2 linked regions of the Alligator mississippiensis genome follow. The protein of the gene in region 1 purifies or fractionates together with the protein of each later gene. This does not show direct contact. Links are inferred from orthologs where the notes say so. Each region holds a gene or a part of one and is shown on either strand. Other genes may lie near its edges. The genes, in order: SUGT1 and NOD1.

The links.
Region 2: the proteins of SUGT1 (region 1) and NOD1 purify together in Homo sapiens (affinity purification with western blotting; 3 studies listed by BioGRID and IntAct, with this or other methods). This does not show direct contact. The link is inferred for Alligator mississippiensis from reciprocal best matches to the Homo sapiens genes SUGT1 and NOD1.

Annotation. Positions count from the first base shown.
Region 1 is NC_081824.1:407,688,041-407,699,202, reverse strand, and holds the start of SUGT1 (protein SGT1 homolog), read left to right. Parts: upstream 1-5,975; 5' UTR 5,976-6,061; coding exon 6,062-6,081; intron 6,082-6,156; coding exon 6,157-6,202; intron 6,203-11,162. Other genes in the region: ELF1 (ETS-related transcription factor Elf-1), read left to right, coding at 341-959. UniProt on the Homo sapiens protein: May play a role in ubiquitination and subsequent proteasomal degradation of target proteins.
Region 2 is NC_081828.1:140,550,177-140,561,068, forward strand, and holds the start of NOD1 (nucleotide-binding oligomerization domain-containing protein 1), read right to left. Parts: upstream 4,704-10,892; 5' UTR 4,395-4,703; intron 3,648-4,394; exon of another isoform or gene 1,764-3,647; intron 1-1,763. Other genes in the region: GGCT (gamma-glutamylcyclotransferase), read right to left, coding at 10,653-10,793. UniProt on the Homo sapiens protein: Pattern recognition receptor (PRR) that detects bacterial peptidoglycan fragments and other danger signals and thus participates in both innate and adaptive immune responses.

The sequences.
Region 1 (11,162 bases):
CAAATCTGTGAAACAGACAATGAAAAAGTAAAGTATCATGTTCCGGACTGACTAGCTTGCTGTGGTTGATACAGAAAACTGAATTAATTGATTCCTAGTCTTTCTCACTAAATTGTAGAATGCTTCAAAGGCAGGAGCTCAATTCTGGGAAGGGTTTATTAATGCCTTAACATTCACCTGTGATACCCCTTCCCTTTTAGAGTTATGTTGTTTTGTTTGATGGAAAGCAGCCTCCTTACTTTTTCCCCCAGATTAATAATATCAGTAGATTGCTGCCAAGTGGCTATTCAGTAGTGAATCTGGGAACAGTCTAATATGTTCTGTTTTCTAATTTTGCTAGGACTTTACAGACCCCAGCCCAAGTTCCAGTGGTTGTTTCACCTGGAAACCAGCAACTTCACACTGTAACACTCCAAACAGTGCCTCTTACAACAGTGATAGCCAGTACAGATCCAGCATCAGCAACAACTCCCCAAAAATTTATCCTACAAGCCATTCCTACTTCACAGTCCATGACAGTTCTTAAAGAAAATGTCATGTTGCAGTCTCCAAAACCAGTGTCTCCTCCTTCATCCATTGTTTTTACCCCTGCTCAAGTTCAGCAGGTTCTCACCAGCAATGTGCAGACCATTTGCAATGGAACAGTCAATATGGCTTCATCTCCATCTTTCAGCGCTCCTACCCCCGTGGTAACTTTCTCAGCCAGCAGTTCACAGGTGGTAGCTCATCCTTCTGGCACCGTGATCACTTCGGTAATTAAAGCACCAGAAACCAAACAAACGGTTATACAAGGAATGGTAAAAGAGGAGACAGAAGATAACAAAATAGCGGATACTGAGCAGTCGGAGCAGAGGTTCCAGCAGCAGCCTTTTTTGATGGTGTTGTCCAATTCCAATGGATTCCCAGCTAATATACAAGTAAAACAAGAAAGTGAACAATTGGAACCAAATTCATATTAATAAAAACCAACCCCTGTGGATGATGATTTTCATAAATGTGATGGAACCTTTTCAGTTCTTGTATATATGATTTAATTCCAAAGCAGGTTTTACTGAGCTACTTAATTTCTGCAGCTGATTGTTAGAAGTCATTCTTTAGACTGGGTTTTGATTTTCTGTTAATTGCTAAATGTTATCATAAAAATAAAATTATATACTCATGTTTCAAAATGCAAGCATGAAGGAACATGCATTTTATGCTATGAAAACTTTCTCTTGAGTTTTTGGCCAAAGTTCTGAACGTCTTATATACTGAGCATTTTCTGTCTGTTGCTAATTTACATTGCAATAACATATTATAGCCTTTTCTGTTTAATCTGCAAATGTCACCTGACTTTTGACGCAACAGCTACTTTCCAGAGAACATCATTTTCATTCCATGTATATGAATTTTGATTATCAAGTTTACCAAATATCTATTTCATATCAGTTAATTAAATCAGTCTAAGTAATAGACAGTAGCAACCAGGTATCCTCCTGTTGCATTTTTGCACAAACTAATGGGTGTGCAAAATAAGAATACACTCCTGTTGAGAGTACACAAAACATTTACACCAGTAATGGACATTATCAGATCTATATTTTTGATATAAGAACACATCAAATATATTTAATTACAGAAACTAGTGGCATCACTACTGGTGCAATTATTTTATACCATTTTGTGGCTACAGATTTTAACTATCTTGCTTTCTATTTCAGATTATTTTGTAAGGATGAAAAGTGAATTGTATACAATTTATGCCGCTGTTCTGAGATTAATACTTTTAAGAATTCTTTTTTCATATGTAAATAATGTACATTTAATTTTACAAGGAAGTTTTTCAACTACCTTGTTTCTATAGAAAAAATTTTGATAGATGAAAATAAGATCATTGTGTTTAGAGGTCTAAAGTTATATGTATTCATATTCCAGAGTGAATTTGTATTTAAAGACAAATTTTTAAATGATGGAGCCCTTTGGATTTTGAGTTCCTTGTCTTTTGTATTTTTAATTGGTTTATTATGAAAATAAATCAAGTGGAAAAAACACAAACTGATACTGATCCACAAGCTATTTGTCTGAGCATGTAACAGCTTTGTGCCATACTGTTACAAGTGAACTGTAACAGCCTACTCCAGACATACTGAATTAACTCTTTATATTTTTGGTAACAAGCACAGGTGGTTTCAACGTTCTCTCTTACCTCTGAAAGTCTCTGCACAATTACTGGACATCACAAAATGACAAACTACAAATTGTTCAGGGCTTTTTGGAATCAAAATCACAACATGCTTCTTTCTGTGATGACTTGCTGAAAACTTAAACAGAGTCCTCTGATAACATGGAGTTGGGACAGTGAACAAACATTTGTAAGCTAAATTCTAGTTTCATTTAGTTCTGTAGTTCTTCAAAATTCTATTGGTTTCCATAGTAAACTGCTATACTGAGTGTGCGGGCCGGGTGCGAGGCGCAGCCCGTCTTTGCGCACGCGGGCTGTGGCCAGCAGCCCGGGCACGCGGGGTCGGAGAAGACCGGGGGCGAGCTAGAATTAGTCACGGACGCGTAGTGGTTGATTTAAAGATTGTTTACTTACACCAAAGATGGTCGTGGTGTAGGCTGGACAGTTTCCAGGTACAGCTCCGCTTAAATCCTTGTTAGAGGACTACGACAAATTCGTTCTTTTCCCCGGAGTTGTTGAAGCTCCGTGGGTTCGGTAGTTTCTTGTACAGGAAGGGATACGTCTAGGAATCTATCGGCGATGGGGAGAGGCTAGAGGCTTTTAAGAAATGCGTTGGGTCCATAAGGATCCGCAGTGCTTAGAGATCTTCACACGAGGCGAAGGTTTTTTCTCTCTCTCTCTCTCTCTCTCTCTCTCTCTCTCTCTCTCTCTCTCTCTCTCTCTCCTGGTGTTCATGGAGTCCTCCAACTTAGGCGGAAACCACTCAAGCTCTTTATACGGCTAGCAAGCCAATCGCTAGCCGCCACGTGTGCATATGTTAGAACCGGCCAATAATTTGGCACAAATTCTCATACAAATGGTGGGAACTCCTTGCACCGTGCATTTCTTAGATGCAAAAGAAATGCACCATGCAAAGAAAGCTTCAAATTGGCGGGAAATTCTCCGTTGCACCGGGGTTCTCTTCTGCAGCAGAAAACTCCACCGTGCAAAGAAGCTGCAATTTAGCGGGAAAAATAATTTAGCAGTGCCGAAGCACACACAAACAAAAAATCACAACTTTGGGTTGTGACACTGAGCAGGTATAAAGATTGGCTATATTAATTTTCATCAAAGGATAAATCGAACTCTATTTTATATGAATTTTAATGTATCTAATTTATTAGAAAAACAAATTATATTTTGACAAGTTTAATATATTTTGCCATAAGTGTTCATAATATGGAGTGTGGAAAATTCCTTTATGGAGGAAACCATTTAAAATGAACAGAATTCCACTCCCATTCACAGTGTGAAAGCTACGAAAAACAGTAAGGTTTCTAGTCAGGAGTTTTATTGGCCATGTTCACAAAATTAAAGGCAGCTTACCATCCCGTTTTTTAGTGCTAGATAGAGTATATGGGAACACTTATTGATATTGATAGTTTTATTTGGTTGAAGCACTCCTACATGCATGCACGTGTGCTCAAAAATCTGAGGAAAACTTGTCTATTAGAGAAAGACAAGCTCTATAATAGCGATGGGCAATTATTTGGGTCCGTGAGCAGCATAGGCGGTTTTGGGGAGCTGTCATGGGTCGGTCAGCACCCCCTCTTCCTGACCCCCACCCCCTTGCCTTGCAGCTCCTCCCCGCCACTGCCACTAGTGACCAGCAGCAGCTGAGCACACAGCCCTGACCTGCCTCTGCTCTGGACTTGCCTTGACTGGAGTGGACAAACCCTAGATTAACTGGGACCCATGTACACAGCCCTGACCATGGCACACCCCATACCTGCTCCAGACTGGCCTGCCCACAATGAGCAGCTGTGGTAGCCAGGCAGAAGCTGCTGCTGCGTGCAGGGGAAAAGGAGCCACCTCCCCCCTCACCATTACCAGGTCCTTCTTGTTGCAACCTCCTGGAGCCTGCGCCCAGGTTGTCCTGCACCTCCTCTCCACTGCTACTGCTGCCCTGCTGGGTGGCCCAGAGGCAGCACTGGTGGCAGTGGTGACCGCAATGGAGATGAGCCACAGGGCAGCCTGGGTGCAGGCTCCAGGCAGCAGAGCAAGAATAGCCCAGCAGTGATGAGGAGGAATTGGCTGCTTTTCCCCCATGCCCAGCAGCAGCTTCTGCCCAGTTGCCACCACTGCCACTCGTGGGCGGGTGATCTAGAGCGAGGGTGGGGCAGCTCAGGGCCGGTGGTGTGCACATGGGTCTTGGCTGGTCTGGAGGTAGTCCACTCTGGCCAGAGTAGGTGCAGGCTGGGCCAGGGCCGGGGTTGTGCATGCAACCAGTCTTCATGGAGTCAGGGACCAGGGGCCACAGCAGCAGCTGGAAGGAACCACCACCTGTGAAGTAAAGAAAACTTTTAGATTCCTAAACAGGCCATTGACTCCTTCACTTTCTGAGTAGTAACACCAGTGGTGCCTCGCCCCTGTTTTTGCCTGTAGTGGAGGTGGGGGGCAGTGTCCTGGATTTCACATTAACCAGAGAATCAGAGGAAGAAGGACCAGAAAAGGACCCTGGCCATGGTCAAGAGGTAATTTGGCTCAATGAGGTATTTGTCCATTGTTCCATTTGGTCACCGTACTTAGGAGCGAGTGAGTGACTGAGTGAGAACTGGGTCATCAAAGTTGAAGCATTTCTTTATTTTGAGGCGAGCAGTCATAAGCAGGGATCCTAGATTTCTCTGAGGAAAAAACCCCCAAATTTTTGGATATAACCCCACTCCTCCCAAATCCATTTTCCAGTGATTAAAGTGAAACGCTATGCGTGTGTGTGGTAGGTTTCATTTTAATTGTGGACAAATGTGGACTTTGAGTTAATATTTTATATCCAAAAATGTGTTTCGTTTTGTTTTTTATTAGAGAAAACCAGGATCCTTGGTCATAAGACAATGCTGGCTTCAAACCCCAAACTCAGTTAAGACTCCCTGAGAGCGGCTAGGGTTTTGCTTTTGCTGCATGGCAGAGCCTCATCAGAGCTCAGAGACATATTAGCACATAAGAAATGCTGGCCCAGAAGAGCTTTCCATCTATTAACTCGTCTGTCAAGTATGAAACGCCAGAAGGAAACATGACTACATCCTGCTTGACACCAAACAACTTGGAGGTAAACAGACTATTGCAGCTTTTCTCTGCATATAAAATGAGCTGTTCCAAACTGGAGATTTTATCACCTTTGACTCTCCTAGGAAATATGAACTTTCATTTCTATCAGGAGAACTTTTACAATCTTTTCGCCGATGCCCGATGAAGGGTGCTGGTGCCTGAAAGCTTGCAATTAAAGAATCTTTTTGTGCAAAAATCTAGTTGGTCTAATAAAGGATATCACCTCTACCCCGTTCTGATTGCTTTTTTCTCTAGACCAATATGGATACAATGTGGACAGCAGACCGCATATATTTTGAGCACTTTTAATCGTCATACATTGTACAGGGGTGAAATGTCCGTACGCACACGACAGCAACCGCGCGCTCTGCAGCCTTACAACGCATCCGCACAACCCCGCCGGGCCGCGCCCCAACCCGGGCCCTGACCCCGCCCTCAGCCGCGGCTACGCAGGCGCGGGCAGGGAGTCCCCAGCCCCTCCCTTGCTGAGGGGTCTAGTCCAGCCGGCCGCCAGGGGACGCTGTGGCACCGCCCGCGCGTGCGCAGACCGACGGAAACAGCAGTCCAATGGCCACTAGACACAGACGGCATCATCGGGCCAAGGGGCGGGTGGCGCCTGCGCGCGACGCTATTAGCGCCCCACCCACCAGTGGCTCAGCGCAGGAGTCCTTCTATTCCGGCCAGTCCTCCCGCTCTATGGCCATCACGTGAGGCCGCGTAGGGCGCACGGCATACCCCCTCCGTCCCGTCAGCCCTCGCGCGGTGGCGCGGCGGCTGGGACTTGGTTTCTCCAGAAGTTTCCTGGGGGCGGGTGCGATGGCGGCGGCTTCTCCGCGGTGAGTCCCGGTGCCCTTCCCCGCTGTGCCAGCCGCCGGCGGCCCGCCCCGCGCTAACGCTGTGTCTCTCGGCAGGTTCTCGGACGCGGACATCGATTGCGACCCGGTGGCGGCGGTGCAGGTGAGGCTGGGGGGCGGGGCTGGGTCTCGCCGCAGGGTGCGTCTCTTTCTTCCCAGTCCCATCCCCCCCGCCCGGCGCCGCATGGTTCGCTTAGTTCGGGGCTTAATAGAGCGAGTGCGGCGGCCGCACCAAGGCGCCCCGGGGTGGGGGGTGGATCCGAGCGTTCTACCCGGGGCCTAATGGCCTGAGTACAGGGGCTGGTTGTGTCTTCACCCCCCGCACCCAAATGGTTTGTTCCCCTGGGGGGAGCTAAGGGGGTGCGAGGAGGGGTGGAAGTGGGGGGGGGAACCTATGTGCTCCTGAGGGGACACTGCTGAGGAGGCAGGGGCTTCTGTGCCGGAGCCGTCTGCTTCTGCACACTTAAGTTAGAAAGCACGCTCCTTTCCTTGCAAGCCAGTCTTGGTCTCTGGCCTGTTGGTCCAGCAGTTCAGAGTCTCACTGAGACAGTCAGGGCTGTAGTCCAGCAGCCCTTTGTTCCCAAACTCTTCCTAGACATTTTCTTACTTGCACCTTCTTATTTTTACTACTGCTTTACAGGCTGTTTCTGTGATTGCTTTATTGGTTTTCCAAAAAATCTTACCTGTGTCAGCCTCGCCTTGTTGGCATGCCTCTCTTACTGCCCAGCTTCCCTTTCTTCCTATTTTTCTCTGTGTTGACATTGGCGGTATTTTTACTCTGGTAAAATATGTAGCTGCTTGTTTATCATTACCAGATACTGATACAAGATCATAAAAAATGAGGGGCCTCAGGAGGTCTAGTCTAGTGGTTCTCAGCCTTTTTTGTGCCAGTACCCATTTGTAAACATTGATGGCCAGTCCCGACCCAGTGCTGCTCACTCCTGACCTGCTGCCCCCAGGCCCCAGCCCCCCAGTGTGTGGGGTGAGGAGGTTGTGGGGTAGGGGGACCCCAGGCAGCCCCTTGCAGGCTGGAACTGCCAGCCTGCAAGGGAAAAGCTGCAGTTTCCCACATTTTTCTCCTCTAAAGGAAAACTTGTTTTTAAAGTTTGCTCATGACCCTTTTATATATTCTTGTGACCCACTTTTGTGTCGTGACCCCTGGGTTGAGAAACACTGTCCAACCCCTGCTCAAAGCAGGACTATCCCCAGCTAGATCATCCCAGCCAAGGCTTTGTCTAACCAGGTCTTAAAAACCTCTGTGGATAGAGAACCCACCGCCTTTCTAAGTAGCCTGTTCCAGTGCTTTACTATCCTCCTAGTGAGAGAGTTTTTGCTAATATGTAACCTAGGGTTGGGTATTTGACCAGTCAAGTAAATCTTGGTCAATTGACTGGATCAAATAGCCAATGAACTATGGGTCAAACATTGGGGGAAAAAATTGCCAATAAGTCCAAATACTCAGAAAAAGCATACATTTTCCATTAAGAAATGTGTCAAAATTTTTTTTTTAAAGTTTTCTGTTCAGAAAACTACAAAAAAGTGTAGGTTTTTTGTGTGTAAAATTGCTATAATCTTTGACCAGTCATGAAATAGGCAGTCAATTGACAGCATTTGATTGATCAGTTGACTGGCTTGCCAACCCTAATTTAACCTAAACTTCCCTTGCTGCCACTCAAGACCTTTGCGCCTTGTTCTGTCATCATCGCCAGCCAATTAGCTATGCAACATCTCACAAGAGTGGACTCTGGTGTAGCTTCTGGTTATGTCCCTGGGTCCCAGCGCCTCCCCCACCCATACCCAACCAAGACACCCTCCCTTCCAGGTAAATATCCTCTCCTTTCTCAGTACCTCTCTTCTTTCCCCTCCCTACTCAGAAGCAACCCTTTTCTCCCCCTCACCACTTCTGCCTTTGGGCTCAGGGAGGTCTACTGTCTGTTGCTGTCATGGCTTCTCCTATCTCACTCCATTTGAGGGCTGTGGGAAGCCAGACTGGGCCAGGGCCAGGAACAGCAACAGTTGGACTCTTGCCTGTGTCTGTTCCTGGGCTGGGCTAGAGGGGAACTCCATGGAGGGACCCAGCAGTGAGGGGGAACCTCCCTGTTGCTACTGCTATTCCCAGGTGAGCCTGGCTCCCCACACACTTAACGCAGGGGCAGGCAAAATCCAGCCTGCAGACCAAATCTGACCCGTGAGGCCATTCTGTCCAGCCCACGGGGCCCCTAAAAAAACTTGGAAAATTAATATTTCTCTGCTGTTGGTTCCTGTCAAAAATGACAGGAACCAAGGGCAGTAGGACCCAGGGGAAGCCTGGCAGGCTCCATCAACAGGGGGCCTGCCTGGCCCCACCCCCCAGCTGGAAGCCCCTTCTGGGGCCTGGTGCCCCACGCTGTAGTGCCCTGTGTTGCAGCTGCTTGCAGCCTGTGTGGGGCTGCCTGTGCCCGCTCCAGACAGCCCTCTGCAGGCTGCGAGCGCCTGCAGCACGGGGCGGGAGAGGGACCCCTTCCCCCCCGCGCTCAGCTTTTCCCTGGTCTCCTTCCCTGTGTGGAGAAAAGCAGCCCCTTTCCTGCCCCATGGCTGGTGCCCTGCGCTGCAGGCGCTCGCAGCCCACGGGGGGGCTGTCCGGAGCAGGCACAGACAGCCCCAGGCAGGCTGCGAGTGGCTGCAGCACTCAGCATGGGGTGGGGAGGGGCTGCTTTCTTCCCCGCACTCAGCACCACCTTGTAATCCGGCCCCACTTGCAGGCTGGCAGTGGGGCGGGTTACAAGCTGGTGCTGAACGCGGGGAAAAACAGCTCCTCGCCTGCCCTATGGCCAGTGCCCTGCACTGCAGCTGCTTGCAGCCTGCCTGGGGCTGCCTATGCCTGCTCTGAACAGCCCTGCACAGGCTGCGAGCGCCTGCAATGCGGGGTGCCGGCCGTGGGGCAGGTGAGGGGTCACTTTTCCCCATGCTTAGCACCAGCTTCTTCCCTGCTGGCGAGCAGGGGGTTGGGGCTGTGTGCTGCCCCCTGCCTGTACTGGGGCTGGGGGGCACTTGGTGTGAGCAGGCGGGGAGCCAGTAGGAGCACAGGGCCTGCATGGGTGTCCCGGGACCGGTGCCAGTGGAGCCTAGAGCAGGGTGGCAGGAGTGTGGGGTCCCAGCTGGCAGGGGCTCTGTGGACCCGGGCCAGCTCCCCCCCTCCCTGTTGGTGCAGCCCAGCCCAGCTCCACGGATCCCTGCTGGCCTGTGCCCCGTTTTGGGCCCCACTGGTGCTGGCCCTGGGACATTGGTCCCAAGGTAGTGACCAGGGGGTGGGGCACCTGTCAAGGGGCGGGGCTACCCATGTGGCCCTGGACAGCTGCCAAAACTGGGTAAGCAGCCCTCCGTTCAAAATAATTGCCTGCCCCTGCACTAATGGGAGCAGTACAGGAGCTGCTCTGAAGCTCCCCCCACCCTCCAATGGTTACAGCACCAGTAGCAGGTGAGAAATGGGAGGGGAAGAGAAGAGAGGAAGGAGTGCTGCTGAGTATAGAGGGGAAGGGAAGAGGTGCCGAGAGAGAGTGTTTTCACTTGTTATAGGGACTTTTAAAAAGTCTCTGGCTGCTGTGTGGTGTGAAAGAGCATATGATCTACCACTGTGCGCTCTCTGGATCCATCCCTGTTTGAGAGAGGAACTTCCTGGGAAGGGTCAGAAGAGCGTTTTACACTTAATTTTGAGAGTAGCCCACTTTTGTGGTCGCACTGGCATCATTCGCATGGCTAGGAGTTTCACAGACTTTTCTTGGTGACAAACTTGTTTACATTGTTCATAAGCCTCCCCACTTCTGGCCAGTGCTTTGTTACAATAGCTATGGGAGGTCATGGAAGACGAGTGATATTTGTTCCCCTGGTGGACTTGCAGTGTCAGACTTGAGACTTTGAACTGCATTTGTTTTGAACTGCAAAACAATGCGCTGAATCCTTAGGAGTGCAGTTGTGTAACGGGCCTCCCTACTGCTTTTCTACTCATATGGTTTGGCCTTTCCTCCTTCATCCTAGTCCTTTGTTGGGACAATCCGGAATTCATTGCTACAGGTGCTCTCTAGGCTCATTCTGCCATGTTGAAATGCAAGGAATGGTTCCTTAAGGTGTTCATCTCTGAACACCAACCCAAAACCTTTACTATGAGACTGGTCTGTCTGTTCCTCAAGGCACTTGAGGTTCCTGCAAGCTCTCAACATTTCAACCTGCCTCATGGTGGGTAGTTGAGTTCTGAAAGTAGGAATCCAGTAAAATTATAGCTCAGCAAGTAGAATTATTGTCCAGAGGTCTAGGTCAGAGATCCACCCATGCCTGACTGCTCAGTATGCTAGTCAGCAACATACAGCCTGTGAAGCCAGCTCTACCAGTGTGGTGTGTTCTGTAGTCAGGTGGCATGGTGAGTGCAGTGGCAGCTATGTGCTGGGTTGGAAGCACTGACCCTTCTGGGACCAGAGCTAGGTTGATCTGGCCCATGGCTCCAGAACCTTGCCAACCTGGCTAGTGTAATGAAGTTGTACCTGTTTCAGTAGCCAGCCTACATCTGCACAAGGGGATGTGGCTAGCATGTCCAGATGCCTTTGACTGCCCTGTATGAATGAGTAGGTACCCATTTACAGCTAAATTATTTGGGAGTCATCTCCAGCATGAGCTGGGAGCAAGGTTAAACTTGCATCTTTGGTGCCTCTGTTATGCAGGTGTTTTTTTTATTGTATTAGACATTGAAAGCACTGTGAGATATAGTCCTGTTGTCTGAACTTAATGTGGCTGAAGAATAAATTAAAGAGATGATGTTATGGGTAGATATACATTGGTTTCTGTTGTATATGCTTACCATAGCAGTGACTGTAGCTTAGCTTTTATTTTTCATTCAAAACTTGCTGTTTTTGATTTTGACTAAAATCATTTGAATAAATGTGTAGGGAGTCACACTTATAATTTAGACTTTATCTGTTAAGTCTAACATGGAGGTGTCAAACTTAACACTCCTCGCAGGCTGGATCTTGGTAGCAGAGGCTGAGGGGTGAGCAGTGGTGGCTGTGGAAATCAATGCACCTGTCATTTGCAGC
Region 2 (10,892 bases), on another chromosome or scaffold:
ATGGATGCAACACAAACCGTGTGGCTCAGGGGAAAACAAGTCATTTTGACACTTTCAGGGTTGGGTCTGGTCAGGTGGGTTTCATTTCTACCTGGGAGGAATTTTGCAATCTTTGCATTCTCCTTTGCCTGAGAAAGGGTATGAGAGCCTGAAAGCTTGCAAATAAAGAATTTTTTTTGCATCTACCTAGTTGGTCTAATAAAAGATATCGCCTCTACCCACTGACTGCATTTACTGCATGAACATTTTCCTGGCAAAAACTATACCTTGAGACCTCCTTTCAGTTGATATGCCAGCAGACCTTAGAACAGGTACTGAACAGTCTGCTAGGCCAGGTCATCTTCTGGGCAAGTGGCATAATCTTAGCCTTTGGTGATGAAGTCTGACAGTGACCAGGATAGTACTGTCTTATTAGAAACCTACCTAGGAGAAATTTTACAATCTTTGCATTCTCCTTTGCCTGAGGAAGGGCACATGAGCCCAAAACCTTGCAAATAAAGAATTTTTTTTGCAAAATCTAGTTGGTCTAATAAAAGATATTGCCTCTAACCCACTGACTGCTTTTGCATTTAGACCAACACAGCTACAACCTTTATCCATGCAATAAATGTTTCCTCTGTGCCTTCAAGTTAGATTTGTTTACTGACCAAAGTGATTATTTAGTACTGCTACGCTGCACTGGAGAGTTCTCTTGCTACATGCAGTACTAAATATTTGCAGTCAGAACCTGTACAGGAACACTTCTTGGAGCTGTTGTGAGAGACTGAAAATGGTTTGATTTTTCTGGTCCTATATTTGGTAGGTAATTTACTGATATTTAAGATGACAAATTACTAAAAGAGAATGTTGTAACCCCCCACCCCCAAGTTATTTTTAGGAACTTACCTTCATTCGACTACTACTTATAAAAGAGCCTCCAACATTTTACTATTACGTGGACATGCCTACACGTGGCACTATGTCACTGTAGCAATGCACTACAGTAGGAGTGGGCAAAATGTGTCCCGCAGGCCGGATGCAGCCTGCCAAGTCATTCTACTCAGCCTGTGGAACCCCTAAAAAATTTAGAAAATTTAAATTTTTCTGCCCCTGGCTGCCTGTCATGCGGCCTTTGACGGCTTGCCAAAACTCAGTAAGCAGCCCTCCACTCAAAATAATTGCCCGCCCCTGCACTATGGTGATGTAGTGTCGGCAGGCACAAACCAGCCGCTACACTGCTGTAGTGATGCGCTCCCTCAGTATACTTCCAAAGTATTAAATGACGGTGCAGTAACAATGACACCATAGTGGCATGTGTAGATGCAACCCTTGTAAAGGGAATTTACAAGAGTAGGAAAAAACAATACATTTGAGAGGCATATGAGTACACACACATACCCCTGCATTAAAGGTTTGAGCATCATGCTTCAAGACAGATGTGGGCAAATCAGAGAGTTCAGAGGATAGCAACACGAAAATAATTATTACTAGGCTAGAAAGATATGAAGAAAAGTTGGAAGAACCGATCTTATTTTGTGCAAAGGAGAGAAGACTCAGGGGGATTTGACAATAACCTTCAACTACAAAAAAGACTGTTATAAAGAGGAAGGTGATCAAATATTCTGTGTCCACAGGGGACAGGAAAAAAAGTAATGAGCTTAAGCTGCAGCAAGGGAGAATTAGGTTGGATATGAGGAAAACCTTTTTAATTCTAAAATTCAATTAAATTTAATTCTAATTTTAATTTTTAACTCTTAATTTTAAGTTTAATTCTAAAACATTACCTAGCGAGATTATGGAGACTCCATCACTGGAACTTTTTAAGTGCACGTTAGACAAACATTTGTCTGGGATAGTTGAGACAAGGATGACCTTGAGTTGGGCAGGAGCATGCATTAGATGGTTTCTTGAGGCCTATTTTTCTCTGTTTCTAAGTTTTACTGAAAACTGATGCTACAAAATTCCTAGAGATGAGAGAAAACTGGTTTTACTTTTATAACCGTGCATTAGCAGAATCTATCCAAAGCCCTGACTCTGATTTTAAAAAAAAATTGTCCGTGAGTGAACATTTATTTCATCCAGGTTTACAATCTCAGCGTAACAATTATAATCAGTAATGCTTATGTCAACCAATATTTTAAGAGCCATATGCTAATCATACACAGATGTTAATGCACAATAGCTCCCATGGTTTCACTGGAGTTACTTTGCCTTTTCTCCTGCATAACTAAGACAATCTTTCCTCTGTGGTGTTTTTCCCACTCTCTCTCTACCATTTTTTTAATGGTAGTAATGGCAGTAAGCTTTTTTAATTGTTCCTGGTTGCCTGAGAAGCAACAGATGTACAAGAACTCAGAGAAGAAATTAATTATGCTCGCTGACAGATTGATGGTTCATGCTGCTTTTAAGGTACACCTTTCTATACAACTGGCTAGCGATTTTCATTTATAGTTTTGTGTTCTTGTTCATGTATATTCTCCTTATTTGGATTTGCCATTAGATTCCCCAATACTGCTCTTTTCAAACAGAGATTTATTAATTCCGGGTTTGACTGAAGTGGCAAATCTGAGTCATTAAAGAGCTCCGGTGTAGGCTTCCTGATACTCCTTTTACGGTTTTCCAAAAGCTCTTGCCATATATCAGAATGGGCTGCCACTAAAAACAAAGAAAAGAAGCCTTTATCTTACCCTTAACGAAGAATTTTTCTCTGTGGTTTTACTGGACTAATATTCCAGTCTTTCTAATAAGGGAGATAGTATTCTATCTTATTATTCTAGTTGGTGAATGATCTTGGCAAGAGTGCAAAATATTGCCTGTTTCACACTTTCAGGATTTTTTTCCGGATAAATTTCCATGCTTGGTATCTGTTCATGATTGGAACAAGATTAATTCTTGCCAGGAACTAGTTGGGGAGAAGAGTGGGGAACAGCTCCTAACACACTGGAACTCTGATTGGAGCCTTCAGGCACTACTACTCCAACATACATCACTACGGGCAACCCCCGCTTAAGACTGTTTCGCTTACCGCTATTTTGCTATAATGCTCATTTTAAATTGATACCTGATTTCACTTAGTGTTCCGCAAGTTTCGCTATAATGCTTGCCAATTCCATCTTGGGTCATTAAAAACACTTGCAGTCACCATTTTGGGCCGTCAAATACCTTCGGTTTTCCTTAATGCCCGTTTCGCTTATTGCTTGGTTTTTCAGAAACCGATTAAGAGCACTAAGCGGGGGTTGCCTCTACTAGCAATATAACAATAGTAACAAGGTGATGTACAGGGCTGCCTGCTGATCCTTAGAGCATCGACATAATCCAGAGGCGAGAAGAGGCAAAAAGCCTTGTGCCTTTTACGTTTGCATAGTTCTGCTGACTTCTATGTCTGTCCTCATGGTCACTGAGCAGGGCATATAGGCCTAAACTGTATTAGTATGTAAATCACATTGAAATGGATGGATTTACAGTTGAGCCCGAGTCTGGCTTTATTCTGTTTCTCTTAGTGGATTGAAAAGAGAACGCATTCACACTCACTCACCCAATGTCTTTCCAACTAGGAGAGCAGGGGGAAAGGTTCAGATTACTTTTTAGGTTAGTGTAGGGGTGGGCAAAATGCGGCCCGGGGGCTGGAAGCGGCCCACCAGGCCGTTCTATCCGGCCCGCGGGGCCCCTAAAAAATTTAGAAAATAAATAATAATCTGCCCTAGGCTGCCTGTCATGCAGTCCTTGATGGCTTGCCAAAACAGTAAGCAGCCCTCTGCCCAAAATGATTGCCTGTCCCTGGGTTAGTGTTACCCCTGTTTTTCTCTGGCTGCCTCATTTAACTCTCTACCTAGACATTGCCTGGTAAATTTTTGAAGCCCTGTGTAAGAGCAGATGAGTCATGGGATAATTTTCTGGGAAAAGGGTGCGCCTCCCATTGAAGCAACCTGAAATTCCCCACTTGCAATCTGCAGGCAAGCTGAGCCCCTCCATGCACTAAGTGCAAATAAAGCCAAGAGCAAGAGCCCCAGTTGCAAGCAAGATTCGTCTTCAATCTGGACGGTGGGCATCATATCTCTCTGGTCCACCGGTCCCCTCTGCAGGGCTGTTTTCCTTAGTCTTGCGGAGGCTGACTAAACGCAGACGTGCGGCATGACCGCGACAGCAGACGTCAGGGGATCACTTTGTTCACTTTTCTAGCTTTTCGTTCCCAAAGCTGGGCACGCGCTGCCTTTCCTCAGGGCCCTCCTGCCTGCCTTGGCTCCTCTCCCAGAGGGGCTGGGGCCCAGGGCCCCAGCCTTGCCCGGTCCTTTTGCCTCCCCTCTCCCCCCACAGCAAAGCCGGCAGAGCCAGGCCAGCCCCGGGCCAGAGCCCGGCGGGGCGGCACGAGGCGGCTGGCGGGAGCGGGAGCCCGACCCCAGCCCCGCGCCACTTACCGCCGCTCCGGCCCCGGGAAAGGAAAGTGAAAGGGGAGGAGCGAGGCCAGGGGCCCGGGCCGGGAGGGGAGGGAGCCAGGCAGGGCGTCTCCTCCTCCCCGCCCCGCGGGAGTGCTCGGCGCTGGAAGCTGCCCCCGGCGGCTCCTGGTCCAGCCCGCCCCGCGCGGCGTCAGGGGCCCGGGCAGCGTTACACCCGGGCGAATAGCACAGAAACCGCGGGGTGGCAGCGCCCTCGGGGCAGCCGCCGGGCCCAACCCCTGCTCCAGCCGCCGCGGCGTTGAGGTCTCTGCATCCCAGCTGGCCCCGGAGCCGAGCCCTTCCGTGCCGGAGGCCGCAGGATGGGGCGCAGCGCCCCGCCCCGCCCCGCCGGACTCTACCCCGGGAGGGCTCCTCGCCTCGCGGACTGCGCCGGGGAGACCTGAGCTCAGGAGGGCAAAATGCACCTGACCGGCACGCTTTAAAAGCCCACCGGGCGACTGTCTACATGGGATTCAACATTTCATACTTCTTGCCATGAATGCCCTGGGGGACCCTCAGCACTCTCCTGCAGATTGATGTCCAATTCCTGGACAATCCTGGAGGGTTGGCAACCTTCATGCAGAAAAGGACCTGGGGGGTCCTTTTGCCTTATCAGCGGGTATGAGCCAGCCTCCTGCTCTGGCTGGGGAGAAGGCTAAGGGGGGACTGGACTGCGCTGGTAGGAGTGTTGCCAGCAGACGGAGAAGTGCTTCTTCCCCTCTGTTCAGCGCTGGTGACACCTATGGTGGCCATCATAGAGGACATTCTGGTTTTCTGCTACTCTCTCCTCTATTGATATGAAACCCAACACCTTTATGTTCTCTATTTTTCTCTTCAAGAGAAAATTTTTCTCTTCAAAAGAAAAATAGAGGACATAAAGGTGTCCGGTTTTGTATCAATAGAGGACAGAGGACAACTGGACTGTCCTCTATGATGGTCACCCTAGTGACACCACATCTGGAGTACTGTGTCCACTTTTTGGCCCCCCACTGTAGAAAGGATGTGGCCAAATTGGAGGGAGTCCAGTGGAGGGCAATGAAAATGAGGGGCATGGGTGACTGGTGCCTCCTAAGCCAGCGGGGACACTTGCCTCCCCAGCGGCCAGTCAGTGACCGGGGAGCCGAGCATGGCAACCCAAAAGTAGCATTCCCTCTAAGCTGGCTCTGAGAGGAAACACTGCCCGAAGGGCCAGGGACGCACACGGGTTCTCCTGGCGCCCCCACTCCCCGGCCAGTGCTCTCAGGGGGGGCACCAGCGTTTCCATCTGCCCGCTTCCTAAGCAGGGATGCTGGCTGTGGGGGTGCAGCAGTGCTCTTGAGGTGCATGTGCACTCCCTACATGTTGCCACTGATGAGAAGTCTGGGGAACGGGACTTGAGGAGAAGCTGAAGGAACTGGGTTTATTTAATCTGGACATGAATGGTGTGTGCCCCTGGCAGCTGGGGGGGCAGAGCGGCAGTGAGCAGGGAGCTCCCGCAGACGTCACCGGTGGTGGCGGGGGGTGGCAAGCGCTGACCAAGGGTCAGCGACCGCCTGCAGCTGCCACTAGCAGGAATTACAGACCACCTGCAGATGCTGCCTTTTTGTAGAGGGTGCACTGCCATGCTCAGGGGGTGTACGTGCACCTGTGTGCACCCCTTACGCATTGCCCCTGAGTCTGGGGAAGAAAAGACTGAGGGGGGATTTAATAACAGCCTGGAGGGTGGTTCTGTAGAGGATGGAGCTCAACTGTTTTCTGTGGTGGCAGATAGGGCTGTGCAAAAATTCACCACCAGTTTTGTTTCGACGCTGTTTTAACCTATTTCAAGGTTGAAACAGCAAAATCGAAACGAAACAGATATGGTCAAAACAAAACAAGGCAAGTCGAAATGTTTTGCCGTTCCGACACTGCTTCGACGTTTCGCCCACAGGCTATAATGGGGAAGGTTGAAACAGCCTATAACTTTGTAATTCCTGGCCAGATTTGTATAAAACTTGCAGAAATGGTAGCCCCTTCTGGGGGCATAAAGTGTGCCAAGTTTCAAGGAGATGGGTATAGGGGGTTTGGAGCAACTGCACCCCAAATTCTTGAGAGCCAAACTTGTGTCACGTGTACGTGTTAAGTCACAGCAGGGTCAAAACTGCAGGAATGCTAGCCCCTGCTGAGGCCACAAAGCCTGCCACATTTCAAGGCAATAGGTGCAGGGGGTTTGGAGAAACTGCACCCCAAAATCCTGAAAGCAAAACTCATGTCACATGTAAGTGTTAAGCCACAGCAGGGTCAAAACTGCAGGTATGCTAGCCCCTGCTGAGGCCACGAAGCCTGCCAGCTGTCGAGGAGATAGGTGCAGGGGTTTGGGGAAACTGCACCTCTGGCTGCTGACAGGCAAAACTTGTGACATGGGTGCTTGTGGGACTGTGTCTGTCTTGGAGCATGGGGGAGGGGAAACTACTGCAGGCCTGGCTGCTAGGCCCTGCTGCAGCCCCTAAGCCTGCCAACTGTCAAGGAGATTGGTACAGGGGGGTTCTGGGGACCTGCACCCCTAGCTGCTGGCAGGCAAAACTCATGACTTAGGTGCTTGTGCAACTGTTGCCTCTCATCAGGCAGCAGGACTGAAGATCATCATTTGCCACCACAGACCTGGGGGTAATAACTGACCACAGTATGAACATGAGCCAGCAGTGTGATGCTATAGCCAGCAGAGCCAACAATACACTGGCATGCATCAATTGATGCATCTCCAGCAAAACCATTGCAAAGGAGTAATTCTTCTACTCTACTCGGCTCTTCTCAGCATTGGTGAAACCGCAGCTGGAGTACTGTTTCCAGTTCTGGGTGCCACACCTTAACTGGGCCATGGTAAAGCTTGAGAGAGTCCAGAGAAGGGCTACCTGTACGATCAGAAACTTGCACAGCAAGCTATACAAGGAAAGGACCTGGGACTCTTCAGCCTGAAAAAGAGAAGGCTGAGAGGGGACTTGGTAGCAGCTTACCGCTACATCTGAAGCATACATCTAGGGCTCGGTGAACAACTGTTCACCAGGGCACCCTTGGGGAAAACTAAGAGTAATGGTCACAAACTCCTGGAAGATGGTTTCAGGCTTGTTTCAGGCTCAACATTAGGAAAAACTACTTCACAACTAGGGCATCCAGCCTGTGACCATTACTCCACATGGGCTAGCATGCCTCCAGTTTTGACACCACTGTGGCTTAACAGGCACAAGACATGAGTTTTTCTCTCAAGAGTTTGGGGTGCAGTTTCTCTGAACCCCCTGCACCTATCTTCTTGAAACTTGGCACGGGTCACGCTCTCAGAAGGGGCTACCATTCCTGCAAGTTTCATCCAAATCTGGATAGAAATGGCAAAGTTATAGTCAGTTTCAACCTTTCCCATTATATCCTATGAGCGAAGGATCAAAACGGCAAAATGTTTTGATGGAACGAAACGGAACAGCCATTTCGACTTGAAACACAATTCGAAACGAAACACTGTTCTGTCGAAACAGAATGCTTCCATTTCGTGCAGCCCTAGTAGCAGATGACAGAACAAGGAGCAATGATCGTAAGCTGTAATAAGGGAAGCTTAGGTTAGATACTGTATTAAGAAACTTGCATGAGGAAGGTAGTAAAACACTGGAACAAGCTACCCAGAGTGGTTGTGGAATCTCCATCTTTAGAGGTTTTTAAGACCCAGCTAGACCAAGCCTTGACTGGGATGATATTGTTGGGGATGGTCCTGCTTTGGGCAGGGAGTTTGACTAAATGACCTCCTGAAGTCCCTTCCAAACCTGATTTTCTGATTCTAAGTGAGAAGGGAACGGCACAAACAGAACCCTCGTCTAACCCAGTCACCCACAGACTCGGTGAGATGGACCTATGGTCTGACCCACTAAATAGCAGTTCTCACCTTCTTCCAGATTTTGTCCTGTACCAGATGGAACTGACAGGGGCAGCTGTAGTTTGACCCTTTTCTCATTCTGTCTCTCTGCTTTTCAGTTCCAGCTCACAGGATCGCCAGAACTGCTCTTCTTTTATATTATCATTCTCAGCATCCTTGATAAAAGTTACTTCTTTCTCTTCTTTTGACAGTTGTTTTATTTTGGCCTGAGTCTTATTAAAGTAGCAATAAGATCAGGAGTGTTTTACTGTGCCCTTTTAACCATCTTATAAGAATTAAAAAGCATTCAGTTGGAATTGCTCAAGTGACATTTAAAACAAACATTTTTTTTTGAGATCACCTAAGCACCTTAGAGCCTGAATAGTCATTTGTCTTGCTTTAATTTTTAATTTAATTAGACTCACTTTTTTATTTATAGAAACAAATTTACCTGCAGTAATTTACAGATGAGTATTCTCAGTATGGTAAGTTCAGTTGTACATTCATACAAAAGGTTCAGGTTACAGAAGCTACAGAAGCAAAGTGGGGCTGGTCTAGGATATCAACAGCAGGCAGAGACAGCAGGCAGGGGCCCGCAGCCTCCACTGGCAGTCCCTGTTCAGCAGCTACCATACAGAAGCTACAATAAGCATTTTTGAAGCAAGACAACTTACACTAAAGAGACACAAAAGAAATCTGGCAGTTGTTACTTTATTTACCCCCCAATTTTTAGTTGCTATTACATAGGTTTCATATATGCAGTATACAGTACAGTATACAGTATGCATATAATGGGGCGTAATGAAAATCTGAGATCTCAGCTTCCATGAACATCGTTCACATGACACCTAGAAATGAAATGAACTGTTCTGGCACACACTTATAAAAAGTTTGTGCAATAAAGACAAGATAAATCAGTTCATGTGCAAGTTTGACATTTCATAATACATAGTCCCATTAACTCTGGATGTAACTCTTATCTCCTGTGTATCAAGGAAAAAATATTTAAACGATCTTCCATATAGAAAGAAAAAAAATTAAAATTCAGTTGTTTTGTGTTTCCTCACATTGTTCAGTTCCCCATCAGTAATCATTTATCAAAAGGTCAGACTCCTGCGAAGTTTACAACACTTCCCAATTCATATGAGGTTGTGAGCATTGTAGAGAGACTCACAGCATTTCTCTTTTGGGTCCAATTCAAATCATTGTGATGAATGAAAAGACTGCCATTGATTTCAATAACCACTGGAATAGAGCTTGTGCATATCCTTCTGACCTCTACAGAAAGTAGAGAGACATGCAATGATCCAACGGGATAAAAATAGCTAACCAACTCTTCGGAATTTAAAAAACAAAAACAACAACTCAATTGCAGCCACTTATTTTATCTGGCCTTATTCACCAATCCCTAGTAATTACCACTAAAGACGATTACAGATGAAATGCTATCCTTAGCTGGTAGTTTCTTCAATAGCAGAGGGTGACCTGTAGAATTAGCATTTTAGAAATACCTCCTATGAAGTATATCTATTGACTTTTAAAATTTTCCCTTTTTTTTTTTAAGCTGAAGCTGGTAGGAATTTTTTAAACAGTACTGGTAGGAGTTTAATTAGAGTGGACTGACAAAGGCATATGTCTCTCACACAAGTTAGTACCAATACTCAGTAATTTATTACACCAATTCACAGGAAGTGATTTAGCAGCTAATGACCAAACAGAAGCTAAATGATTGATTTTTAATAATCACATTAATACCTTCCAGCCAGAAGAGGTCTTGTTCCACAGAAGTTAGTTAAGTAAAAAGCCAAAGTATAATTTCTCACTTGGCACCCCCATGGACTTTTAAAACAGACTGGAGAACTGAATGTACAACACTTAAAAACCAAGCGGCTCAATTCTGCAGCCTTAATATTCCTAACGGGAAGCTGCCCAACTGGCTTTCTTTTTTATGATGATCGGTAACAGGAAGATGTGACAACATGAACTTTACCAACAGTATGATAAGGGGATTACAGAGAATTAGGTCCAGATTCCATAAAGATTTACATATAGCTTTCTATATGGTGCATGAAGTCAAGCCCAACTTACACACATACCTTTGCAAGGCCAGGGCTTTAAACTTGCTGAATCCAGTCCCTTCCTATAGAAGTACACCAGGCCTGCCCCATTCTTTATCACAAAAGGAAGTTGCTAATCAGCCTATTGAGAAAATTCATGCTTAAATCAAAATGAACAATCAGGCAATGTGGATCTGGAATTACTCTAGGAGTACACCTGGGTTAGACAATGGGTTTGGATAAGGATGATCCTGCCTCAGGCAGGGGGGTGGACTAGATGACCTCTGGAGGTCCCTTCTGGCCCTACTTTTCTATGATTTTATTAAGTTATTGTTTCCCTTTTTTAACAGCAGCCTCAATTTCTTCAAAGATTGACATTGGTCCTGTATAGCCATTGGTCTCTATTAGTTCTAATTTCTTCTGATAGTCAGGTGGTAATCCATTCTGTTTTGCACCCATGCAGATGACCTACAAGTGAAAAGAAACACTGTCTTACTATGACATTACAGTGAAACAGTTTGATCTCACAAGCTTTTGGTTCTGCAAACAGTACCACTCATGTAAAAG